3 linked regions of the Xenopus tropicalis genome follow. The protein of the gene in region 3 interacts with the protein of the main gene of each other region in a pairwise test. Links are inferred from orthologs where the notes say so. Each region holds a gene or a part of one and is shown on either strand. Other genes may lie near its edges.

Region 1 (3,732 bases), on a different chromosome or scaffold from region 3:
TGCAAAGTAAGACATTTCCACACAACCTATTACCACTCATTTTCCCTCACTTTTTTCAAACATTAAGTTATTGATATACATTTTTTATTACATTCTAACTTGTATTGCTTTTCTTGGTAAATCTTTGCAGTTAGGAGTACAGGTATGCGATCCCTTATCCAGAAAGTTCCGAATTACAGGAAGGTCATCTCCCATAGACTCAATTTTAATCAAATAATTCAGATTTTTAAGAATGATTTGCTTTTTCTCTGTAGTAATAAAACAGTACCTGTACTTGATCCCAACTAAGATATAATGAATCCTTATTGGAGGCAAAACAATCCTAACAGGTTTATTTAATGTTTAAATGATCTTTTAGCAGACTTAAGGTATGGAGATCCAAATTACGGAAAGACCCCTTATCCAGAAAACCCCAGGTCCCCACCATTCTATATAACAGGTGCCATACCTGTATTTACCAACTTTGGGTTCATCAGAATGTGTCCTGTACAGAATATCTTTTACAGTTCGGGGCTTTATGACACATGCAATACAGGCAATGTGCGTTTGTTATAAACAGGATCATGCAATTATGCGACTCGTATCTAGCGCATAGAAATGCCATATCATCTATTTCAGCTGCGGTAAAAGCCCCGCAAAATGAATTGCGGCTGCACATAGAGCATCCCCGTAGCTCTTTCAAGACCCCAATCCCTTGGGAAGCTCTAGCCCCAAGCAGCCCCTGCTCACACGAGAATTCTCTACTGTCCTTTATGCAAGTGCTTCTCCTGTACAACTTTATCTCCAACAGCAAAAACACGTACAACCGGAACCATCTCCATAAGCGAATGAAATGCGCATGTTCAGTCTAACCATGTGAGGTATAGAAGCGTACATTGCGTGTCTTTATCCTTCCGCGGTGACGAAAGCAAAATAGTTCCAACCCGACTGAGTACGCCTACTAAGAACCCAGGCGAGGCGCAGTAGGAAAGCGCTCAGCCAACAGAGTGGCTCGTCTTATCGTTTTCAGTGTTACGTCATCTCCGTCGCGCAGGGATTGGGCTTTATAAGGGCAGCGCGGCACCTTCCGGTCCTCTTTTCAGCCCTCGACTCCAAAATGGTGAGAAGTTGCTGCCTGGAGAGGCAGCGTTAGGCACAATCATTCGTATTTATAAACCCCACCCGTATAGTATCGCTAGTGCTGCGGCCTGTGCGCTTTTCCCGATACACGGCGGTAGAATGACAGGGCGCTGTGCGCGCCGCATGCTGGGGAATAGCACGAGGTCTATGGCGCCTTCCCCTTGTGGGATCCGGGCCGGGGCTCCGAGGCACAGGGGTAAAGCGCTGTACCAGCCATGGGGAATTAACTATTTGCGGCTGATTTCAACCTTCCGTTCCCAAACATACGTTTGAGTTACATCGATTTATCGTATGTCGCATTTGGGTTACTGACTGGGTGCCCGTCACTATTCCTGCGTTATACACGGATATATGTATTGGCTTGTGTCTATGCCTCGGCATCTTACAGCGGTATTACTCTAATGTTTATGTCCGGGCGGTGCTGCTTTACGATAGTTGCGTCCCTTGGTGCTCAGTGGGAGACTGTAGCAGTATATAATGGGATTTGCACATTTTAGGGTAAAGGCAGCACCATTCTGTGTCAACCTGGGTATGTTGCATTAAATATTGGGCTTAATGTAAAAAATGTAAGTTTGCATCTTTTTTTAGTTATCCATAGCAACCAGTCAACATGTATCATTAGCTGGTTAGATTGGTTGCTATGGGTTACTAGATGTGGGCAAATTTAAAACATATTGCCATATTCTAGTGTTGACAGGTTGGAGCCTTGCCAAGATCCCCCATAGACCTTTGTGCTCATTAATCACACAAATTAATATCTGCACAAAATAATGGGATGCAAGTACTATGTGATGGTTAGTGAGACTGAGTGCAAAATGTTTGTCTTAACAAACCGTACATGATTTTTACTATTTTAACACATTGTCTTCTGCACAGACCAAGAAGCGAAGGAATAACGGACGCGCCAAGAAGGGCCGTGGTCATGTCCAGCCCATCCGTTGCACAAACTGCGCTCGCTGCGTCCCAAAGGACAAGGCCATCAAGAAGTTTGTCATAAGGAATATTGTGGAAGCTGCAGCTGTCAGGGATATCTCAGAGGCCAGTGTCTTTGATTGTAAGTTGGTACCCATTGGATGGGGGTTATTTACATGGCCTTTAGCTAAATGCTTTTATGAGGGTACGACAGGCTGCAGATTGTATAAATTTTAACCTTTTGCAAGCTTAGTTTATTTGCATAGGATCGTGTACACTTTGCTCTTAGAATTCATTATTGTATAAATGAGGCTATACACATGTTCGGCTTTAACAAATATTTTACGCAACTGCATTTTGCACTGAAGCATAGGAGGGGCTGTCAGAAAAGATTTGCTTCCCTTGTAGTAGGCCAAGAACAAGTTTATTGACTAAGTTTAGAAGCTGTTACTGAGAAGTGCTGTGTCTTCACCCTTAACCACGGAGTTTATGTAAATGTTCAGATGTACAGTAGTCTTCTTGCATATCTGTCCTCTTGGCTGACTTCCCTCATGGTTAGGTGACTGCTACGGTCTATGACCCCATTCCCAAATGCTTGTGATCAGATTGATACAAGAGTATGCATGTCATAGGGCTGCTGTATCTGCTAAATGGCACAGCAGCCCTACAACATCCTACAGAATAAAGCTGCAGGTGAAATTATGTAGGAGGGCTACACAATACTAACCTCTGAACAGCTTAGCTTGTTACTAAGTGTATTTTCTAATATCCATGAAATATTAGTTTTATCAAATTGCATTAACAAAGGCCTTGATCTTCTCTTCCAGCATATGCACTTCCCAAGCTGTATGTGAAACTGCATTACTGCGTCAGCTGTGCCATCCACAGCAAGGTGGTCAGAAACCGCTCCCGTGAAGCCCGTAAGGACCGAACACCACCTCCCAGGTTCAGGCCTGCGGTAAGTTCCTTACCAGAAATCTTGAAATTTAACTGGGCTTAACTTCTCTGCTGGCCTCTAATCTACGCTGCATCACGTGTCTGGCAAGATGGGGCAAAGTAAGATCTAAGACTGGCAGTGTAACATTAATGGAGCTGGCAGTCAAGTACTTGGCAGCCAGTTCCATATATACTAAGATCTGTGGCAGGTCGGCAGTTAAAGGAAGGAAGTCTGGTTTTGAAAAAACATGGGCTTGTGTATAAGCTCAATGCTAAAACTTTGTCAGGCATGTTTGTTGCCCTTACTGGGCAGCACAGTTAACATAATTATCTTTCCAATGTGTTTAGAACACCTGGAAACTTGTTGGGTAGGTGTTTTGTATTTTTTTTTTTTTTCTTTCATTTCTGCATGCCATTTATTTTGTGAGTAAATACAGAAACAGCCTGGAAGCTCAGATCCAAGAGCAGAGTGACCCTGTCTTGGTAACAAGGCAGTGAATTGGCAGTCGGAACTGCAGGTCACTAAGATATTTAAAGGGGTCCAAATAAATGCTGGGTTTTTTTTGTTTAACCTCATTTAAGAAAAGTGAGTTTTTAATAGTTTCTAAAGCACTTTTTAATGCAAGTGCAGTTGAAACATTCTGGTTCTGACTCTGAAAAAATAACATGAGACCGTTCTATAGGTCATTTACAAATGGCTTTATAACAATATTTTATCAATGTATATTGGAACATTGCTTAAGTTTTGTATTTGGCTGGAGTACC
Region 2 (3,754 bases), about 46 Mb from region 3:
TCCACTAGGCACTAGTCTTGGGTAACTTTCTTCTCGGGTCCATGCTGCCTAGAGATTTGTATCCGCAACTGTCAGAACAATAAAAGAGAAGGGAGAATTGAACTGAATTGATATTTTGTAATGAAAGTATATTGGAGGTAGGTTTCTGGAGGTAAGGAGCCTGAAAGGGGATTTTATTTTTGACTTTAGATCCCCTTTAGGATCAGATCCACCTTTTCAGGTCACATATTCCCAGTATTTGTCTGTATATAATTAAAAAAGTCTCTTCTCACATACCATTTTTCTTGACTGTGTCATATGATATAGTTGTGTCAGTAAATAAAAAAATATTTTTAACAAAGAAGTATCATATATATGTAATTGCAGGGGCTAAGTATCAGTGTCAGAATGAGATGCCAGGTGCACACTGCCAAAACTTTAATTCCTCCTCTCCTCCTTCAAACTCTTTATTATCCTAGTCTCTTTTCTCTACATACTAACGTTTATTCATCCATTTACCAAGCTTCCATGTTCCCATCCAGAAATAGGCTAAATAGTTAGAAGCAAGAGGGCCCACTGACACCTGGGCCCACAGGGAGTTTCCCTGGTATCCTGGTGGGCCAGTCTGGGACTGGTAGGTATAATTAAATATGAACTTTGGACAGTGGATGCTTGCATTGTTGTACCAGTGCAACTTTGCCTCAAAAATGTGTCCAGAAGGGGGAAGGGGGGGCCTGCTGCATGCCCTGCACCTGGGCCTGGGGAGGTATAGTTCCGCTACTGTTTGGAAGCATAAATCAGTTTGGTGTAATGATCTCTTGTACCTGTTATCAGTGTTGGACTGGAATACCAGGGGCCCACCAGAAAACCTTAGAACATGGGCCCACTCTCCAAAATATTATTCTCCTATTACATGCTAGCATCTATTTTTCCATCTATTATTTGTATTTGTTCCCATTCAGAAATAGGGAATGACCATGAAACAGGCCAAATGGTTTGGAGCAGGAGGGCCTACTGACCCCTGGGCCCACCGGGAGTTTCCCTGGTATCCTGGTGGGTCAGTCTGACACTGCCTGTTATAAACTTAAAATATACCAGAGAATGCATATCACCACATAATTTCACATTTAAATATTCCTTTTTATCTGTACTTCTTCTATTTGCTCCAGCTCCCTATTTTGGTCCATCACACTAAAACGAATCATTTATTAGTTCTTTGACCTGGTTAGTAATTTGTATTGGATAATGTATGTGAAAGCAGGCTACTCAGCCTGGAGCTTTGCAGGCAATAGTAACATAGTGCTGTGAGAGGCAGATCACTTGGCACACCACACAGCTATAACCCTCTATGGAGCAGTTTGTATCATAGCCACGGTTTATTACAGCACATTCATACTACTTGTGCTTGTGGTAGGTTCCTAAAGGAAAGAGCGCAATATATCCCCCTTCTGGTCTCCAGGGGTAACTACAGGTGTGAGCGGCGCTCTGAGACAAGGGGTAAGGTAATGTTCGTCCATGTGATACAGGCCCGGATGTTTCCTAGCTCGTTTTCCCGGGGATAGCGCCTACTTGTCCCTCCTCCTTACTCTCGTAGAGATGTGACTACGGAGTCCCAGGGTTGGTTATACTTGTCCCTGACCGCGTTTTGCATGGCTCCAATTTGATGGTTTCCCAGGGTTACACACGTTTGTCCCGCGTCTGGCCTCCACGGGCCTGGCTATGTTTGTCCTGCCGCTGGTGCAGTGACGGGCTGCTGTATTTAGGGAGCTTCAGGGGAGCAGGGAAGTAATACGGTATGTTTCAGGGGTGGGGTTTATAGCGCCTTTGTGAGCAGTGCACTTATCAGAACTCACAAACCTGTGTCTAGTCTGTGGCCTTCTAGCTAGTTTGGGACTACAGTTCCCAGCATCCTTCACATACAGCCGAACTACAGCGGTAGAGTCACTATTTACAGTAACGGACACCAGTAGCAACTATGTACCATAAGGCCACAGGCTGTATTGATTGGGTAATGGGTGTGTGGGCCTGGCTGGGAAGGGAACAGGTTATCGGATAGCATTTTGTTATATGTACTTGTATTTTGGGCCTTATTGCTCCTTGTCCTCCCTCAGCCCTGTCCCACTGCCTGATCGCTAGGGGAGACTAAGGTACAAGCTCGCAGGGGGACACATAATAATGGGACACATAGCCCAGTAAGGAATGAGGGATAACTGGGGCAGTGCTGGGCATCACTTTCCTACCATCACTCCTGCCATGTAAATGGCTGCTAACAGATATGGAATTGGCTGCCCTTTATATGTTATAATGTTTCTCTGATGCAGATACATGAAATCCATCATTAGCTGTGACCAAACAAAGCCTCACACGGGATATTGTGTTCAGGGGAGACAGTATGTAGCCATGACAGGTGCTTAAACCAGTGATTTCAGGCAGATATTTTAGTATGTGAGTGACTTTGGGCATTTTAAACATGTTTCTTCGGCTGATAAAAAATATGTGGTGATCAAAGTGCAGAAAACATGCCTTTTTTGAAGGGTGAGCGCTTACGAGAGCCTGAGGATTGTCCAGCAGACAGTCACACTGTTCTACCTGGTGCCCAGCACTCTATATACTGAGCTTTTACATAAGTGCAGTGATGCCAAAGTAAAGACGGCTTGTGGGCACATAGCAGGGACTATTTCTCTGCACCTTGCTCAGAAAAACTGTTATACATTTGCAGCCCTGCACTGGTAATTTATTTAAAGAAGTAAAAGTGTATACAGTCCCTAATGTTGTGGCCCAGGCTTTTGGGTGTCTTGTAAAAATCTTATTTATAGTCTGATTATCAAGAGAGCTTGTTGGGTTGCAGCATATACACAAATATCCCTGGTGAAGCCTCCTTGGTTGTTTAAAGATGTTGCATCATTGACAACCCTGCATATTAGACTTAGGTACAATTATAATATTAGCTAGGCTTGTGCTCTCCAAAAATGTTTATTAATTCTGAAAAGTATAACTATAAACACCAATATTACTCCATGTGATATCTACACCAGGGGACAGGAGCCTAGTGTGGTACTACATGCCTGTCAGTGCCTGGCAGGATGGATCTTGTCATGAAAATGCTTGTGTGCACACAGACAGGAAGATGTCTTTCTGTCAGCCAGGGTTTGAGTAGATTGTCTTATTCTCTAAAAGAAAAAAACCCTGGTGTAGCATTAATTGTATAGTTTCATTTTTTAATGGGAAAAAGCAGTAGTTGCAGTATTAAACAGAGGGTTATTTTAGTGTATTGTATAGGTGCATTGACTCCAAAAATGAATAAATAAAAAAGTTGCCCTGCATGTTTCATGCCTTTCATGAACACTACGACGTAGTGCCCTTGAGCAGTATGAAACCATTTGCACTGTATCAATTTACTTCTAAAATATTTAAAATATTTTTTTGTATTTTGGAATTCTTGCATCCTGTTCCAAAATAAGGTAGCCACACGTAAAGATGGCCACATGTGCCAGATTCAGCTGCCCATATCAGTCCCTTAGAGCGATTCAGCAGCTTATTTGCCAGTGTATAGGCACCATCGACAGGCCTTCCCAAACGGCATCTGACCTGAACCAGTGGCACCTATGCCTGCCATTTTAATTTGATTGTTTGGCCCTAGTAAGTGGGCATATCGGGAAAAGATCCTCTTGCTTTATGACATTGACAAGCAAGCAGACCTTACAGTGTATGGCTACCTTTACGAAACACAGTTTTGTGAAGGTAAACTACCACTTGAAGTCTGCCCCCCAGTGCA
Region 3 (3,754 bases):
AATGGGGTGTGGTAATTGGGGCGTGGCCACAAAAGGGGGCGTGATCAAAAAATTTTGCCGCGCTGCGCACGCCAAATCTTTTTGTCCCTCTTTTCATTTTTCAAATGTTGGGAGGTATGCTCTATATGTTTAGCTCCATGTCCATCATAAGACCAACTGCAGCTGCCTGTGCCCACCACCGATTTTTCCTGACAGGAATAATGGTGTGGTGGCACAGAAAAAGGCAAAAGCATCAGCTGAGCATGCTCTTTGGCATGCTGGAGTACCGTGTGATACTCCAGTGCTGTGCAAATGTAACTTAGTGTGCCAGGCACTGTTCCCACAATGGATTTTTCACTAGTGACATAGAAGAGCATGCTTGCAATGGGGGTAATACTATGTATTACTGTGCAACACTTGCCTATGATGTGGATGCAGTGGTGTAATAATGCTGCTCTGGGCCCCCCTGCAAAGAAACCTGCAGGGGACCTGGCATGGACCTCCCTTCAAGCGCTCAGCCAAACACACCAGATAGGTAAGCTAGTAGCTCGGGAGGGGAATTTTTTAGAGCTGCAGAGGTAGCAGACCCCACAGTCTGCCCCCCTCTCGTGACTGAAGGGTTTGCTTCCTCTATAGTTATGCCAGTATGCGTGCTTAACTGCACTGTAACAGAGTGTGGTGCATCAGGCAAAACTTAATGTGAATACTATATGATTATTGAAATTACTCATTATTAGGGCCTCACTGCAAATCCAGGGCCTGCTTCCTCTGTAGCACAGGCACTGCTGTAAGATGCCATAGACAGGCCCGGATTTGTGGCGAGGCCACAAAGGCCCGGGCCTAGGGCGGCACATACACAGGGGTGGCATGCCGCCCCGCTGCAAGCAAATTTTAACATTTTGCTCCCATACGGAGGAATGGGGAATGCGCAAGTTAGGCGCATTTGCATTTTTGCGGCGGGGGTGGGGGGGGCGTCGAATGGGGGCGGCCTTGGGGCGCCCCAAGTAGAAATCCGGCCCTGGCCATAGACAGTCACTAATTATTGGGCTGTTGTGGGCTGTTTGGGCCTCTGTGTACTCTGTCCCTCATTTCCCTTTGATCTCCTGCACTGAATGCTAAAAAAAGATACAATTACAATCAAAATTGTAATAACACAATAAACCAAGACCCCCCCAAACATGTGTTAAAATTTTAAATAACCTGCCAAATTTTGTAAATGGGAGTGATATTTTAGGGATGTGGTCACAAAAATGGGAGTGGTCAGAAAGTTTCCACCACAGCATTTCTTTTTTTTTTCAAGTGTTTAACATTTTTCCAATTTGTGTGTCCCCCTTCTACTTCCTACTGTGCCCCTCTGATACTAGCAGGGACCCCTTGGGCCCTACAGCCTTGCCATACGGAGCAGCAGTTACTAAGCTGATTAATAGCTGCCATTCCCCTATAGTGCGCATGTATGACTATGCCTGTCTCCATGGAGACGCTCCTGTGATCCGCTCTGCGCTGATGGCTGCGGCATTCTCTATCGATGTGATCGGCGCCTCCTCCTTTGGGCCTGAATGACGCGGTTGCTGCTGGGAGAGAGGTGTCATGGCGGCGCGCTGCGTAGATTCACGTGTGCTGTTCGGCGAAGCTGTCAGGGCTGTTCTGGGCAGCTGGCCGGTGCTGCAGGTGATTTGCTGCATTCAATGAACATTTTATATACGGGTATTAGTAAGCAAGCGAGTCTGTGCCTGTACATTACTTGCAAATGTCGTTTCATAGATCGCGGTGGAGAATGGATTTGGTGGGCCTCACAGCCAGGAGAAGGCGGAGTGGATGGTTGGAGCAATTGACCAGTATTTTAACTCTAATGGTACGTGAAAGGTGATCATTTATGGGCTTTTAACTAATGAACTAGTGAAGGGATGTGTAGAATGGGGGGTTGGGGGCCCCACCACAGGTTTTATTGAGGTTTGAGCATGTATGTATGTATGTTTGTATGTATGTATGTCTTTATTTATAAAGCGCTACTTATGTACGCAGCACTGTACAGTAGAATACATTAATACAAACAGGGGGTTATAAAGATAATAATAGATAAATACAAAGTACAACAATAAATACAGATAGATACAGATAAATACAGCTGCAATAAGTTAAGAGTCGAGGACACAAGAGGAAGGAGGTCCCTGCCCCGTAGAGCTTACAATCTATATGGGAGGGTAACTAACAGACACAAATAGGATGTGAGATACTCGTACTAACAGCGAATACTCTCGCTATTTATAGATTGATAGTTAAAGGGTAAATATAATACTTATTTGCCTTTCTAAGTTCGTCTTTAATTTACTGCTCTACATGCCCTGTTGTGCGCCTTGGTATTGGTGGCTTTTCTCTTTTTATTATCAGCTATTTGCAAGTTGCCTAAATGTTTGCCATGAAATGACAAATAAACACTAAATAATGACTAGAAATGCTTTGTTGCATCTACTGAACTTCTGGGCTAGGCCAGAGACTCGGCAGCCCTGTGATATTAATTACCCATGGTTTTATGTTTATACCATAGAAATATGCATCTTACGGTTTTGTTGGGCCTTATTTTGAGTGTCAGTGACATTGCACATGCTCAGTGAGCACTGGGCAGCTGTAGAGAAGCAAAGCTTAGGGGTCGAGAGAAGTCATTCTATGCAGTGTGCACTGGTTTCTAGGCTGCCATGTAATGTGAACCTGCACTAAATAATCTGCTTGTATTATGAATTGTATATTGTGTGTATACACACACACACTGCAGCGAGTCAGCAGAAAAGAAGAATGGGAGCTATTGGGGGCATCTTTGGGCAGATATAGAAGCTCAAGACATGGGGTCTAACATTTATAGCTTTAAAATTTGTTGAGCTTTTTTTCTCCTTTAGACTGCTGACTGATGTTTATATTTAGCTCACAACTCTATATAGAATACAGCTTTAAAGGACATGTAAACCCCACACACAAAAATGTAATCAGTGAACAGCCTCTTTGAAATCTTTCAATTCCTGCCACACTGGTTGTCCAGAGGTTAATAGTAAGGCTGCAACCCCCTTAATCACTTAGATTTGCTTCTCCTCCTGTAACCCACTCAGCCCCCTCCCTCAGGAATTTGCTTTGGCTGTTGGCTTGTGGGCATGCTCAGTTGTTCTAAGCTCAGATTACTTGCTGAGCAAGGACAGCATCAATGATCCCACATGGTCCTCTCCCAATAGGATACTCTAAGCTGCCAGCTATCTGATGGGAGTTATGTGCACGTAAGCTGATGGCTTGGCCTTTGCCAAATCTCATAAAACTAATGCAGCACCCTCAGGTTTCATAAATCTGCCTTTGTTTCCACAGTTGTGATTGTGCCTGTGTTAAAGGGATATTCACCTTAACATTAATGGGTTTTGTTTTTTTTTTTTGGTTGATCTCCACTCCCCTCCATGTAGCTGCACTCAGGCCAAACCTGTGACTGTTAGTGGAGTGCCTACAAAATGCAGGCTGAGACAAGCCAGGTGTGACTTTGGCCATATAGAGATTATACAGTGGTGTGAAAAACTATTTGCCCCCTTCCTGATTTCTTCTTCTTTTGCATGTTTGTCACACAAAATGTTTCTGATCATCAAACACATTTAACTATTAGTCAAAGATAACACAAGTAAACACAAAATGCAGTTTTTAAATGAGGGTTTTTATTATTTAGGGAGAAAAAAAATCCAAACCTACATGGCCATGTGTGAAAAAGTAATTGCCCCCTGAACTTAATAACTGGTTGGGCCACCCTTAG

What was found.
Region 1: the proteins of tsr2 (region 3) and rps26 interact in binary tests that used the Homo sapiens proteins (3 or more experiments, as listed by UniProt). The two-hybrid records come from large-scale screens. The link is inferred for Xenopus tropicalis from reciprocal best matches to the Homo sapiens genes TSR2 and RPS26.
Region 2: the proteins of tsr2 (region 3) and zbtb9 interact in binary tests that used the Homo sapiens proteins (3 or more experiments, as listed by UniProt). The two-hybrid records come from large-scale screens. The link is inferred for Xenopus tropicalis from reciprocal best matches to the Homo sapiens genes TSR2 and ZBTB9.

The regions. Positions count from the first base shown.
Region 1 is NC_030678.2:137,759,088-137,762,819, reverse strand, and holds the start of rps26 (40S ribosomal protein S26), read left to right. Parts: upstream 1-928; 5' UTR 929-1,096; coding exon 1,097-1,099; intron 1,100-1,995; coding exon 1,996-2,173; intron 2,174-2,858; coding exon 2,859-2,989; intron 2,990-3,732.
Region 2 is NC_030684.2:71,796,102-71,799,855, reverse strand, and holds the start of zbtb9 (zinc finger and BTB domain-containing protein 9), read left to right. Parts: upstream 1-1,416; 5' UTR 1,417-1,476; intron 1,477-1,499; exon of another isoform or gene 1,500-1,596; intron 1,597-1,602; exon of another isoform or gene 1,603-1,772; intron 1,773-3,754. UniProt on the Homo sapiens protein: May be involved in transcriptional regulation.
Region 3 is NC_030684.2:25,373,083-25,376,836, forward strand, and holds the start of tsr2 (pre-rRNA-processing protein TSR2 homolog), read left to right. Parts: upstream 1-1,322; 5' UTR 1,323-1,535; coding exon of another isoform or gene 1,536-1,566; coding exon 1,567-1,647; intron 1,648-1,740; coding exon 1,741-1,831; intron 1,832-3,754. UniProt on the Homo sapiens protein: May be involved in 20S pre-rRNA processing.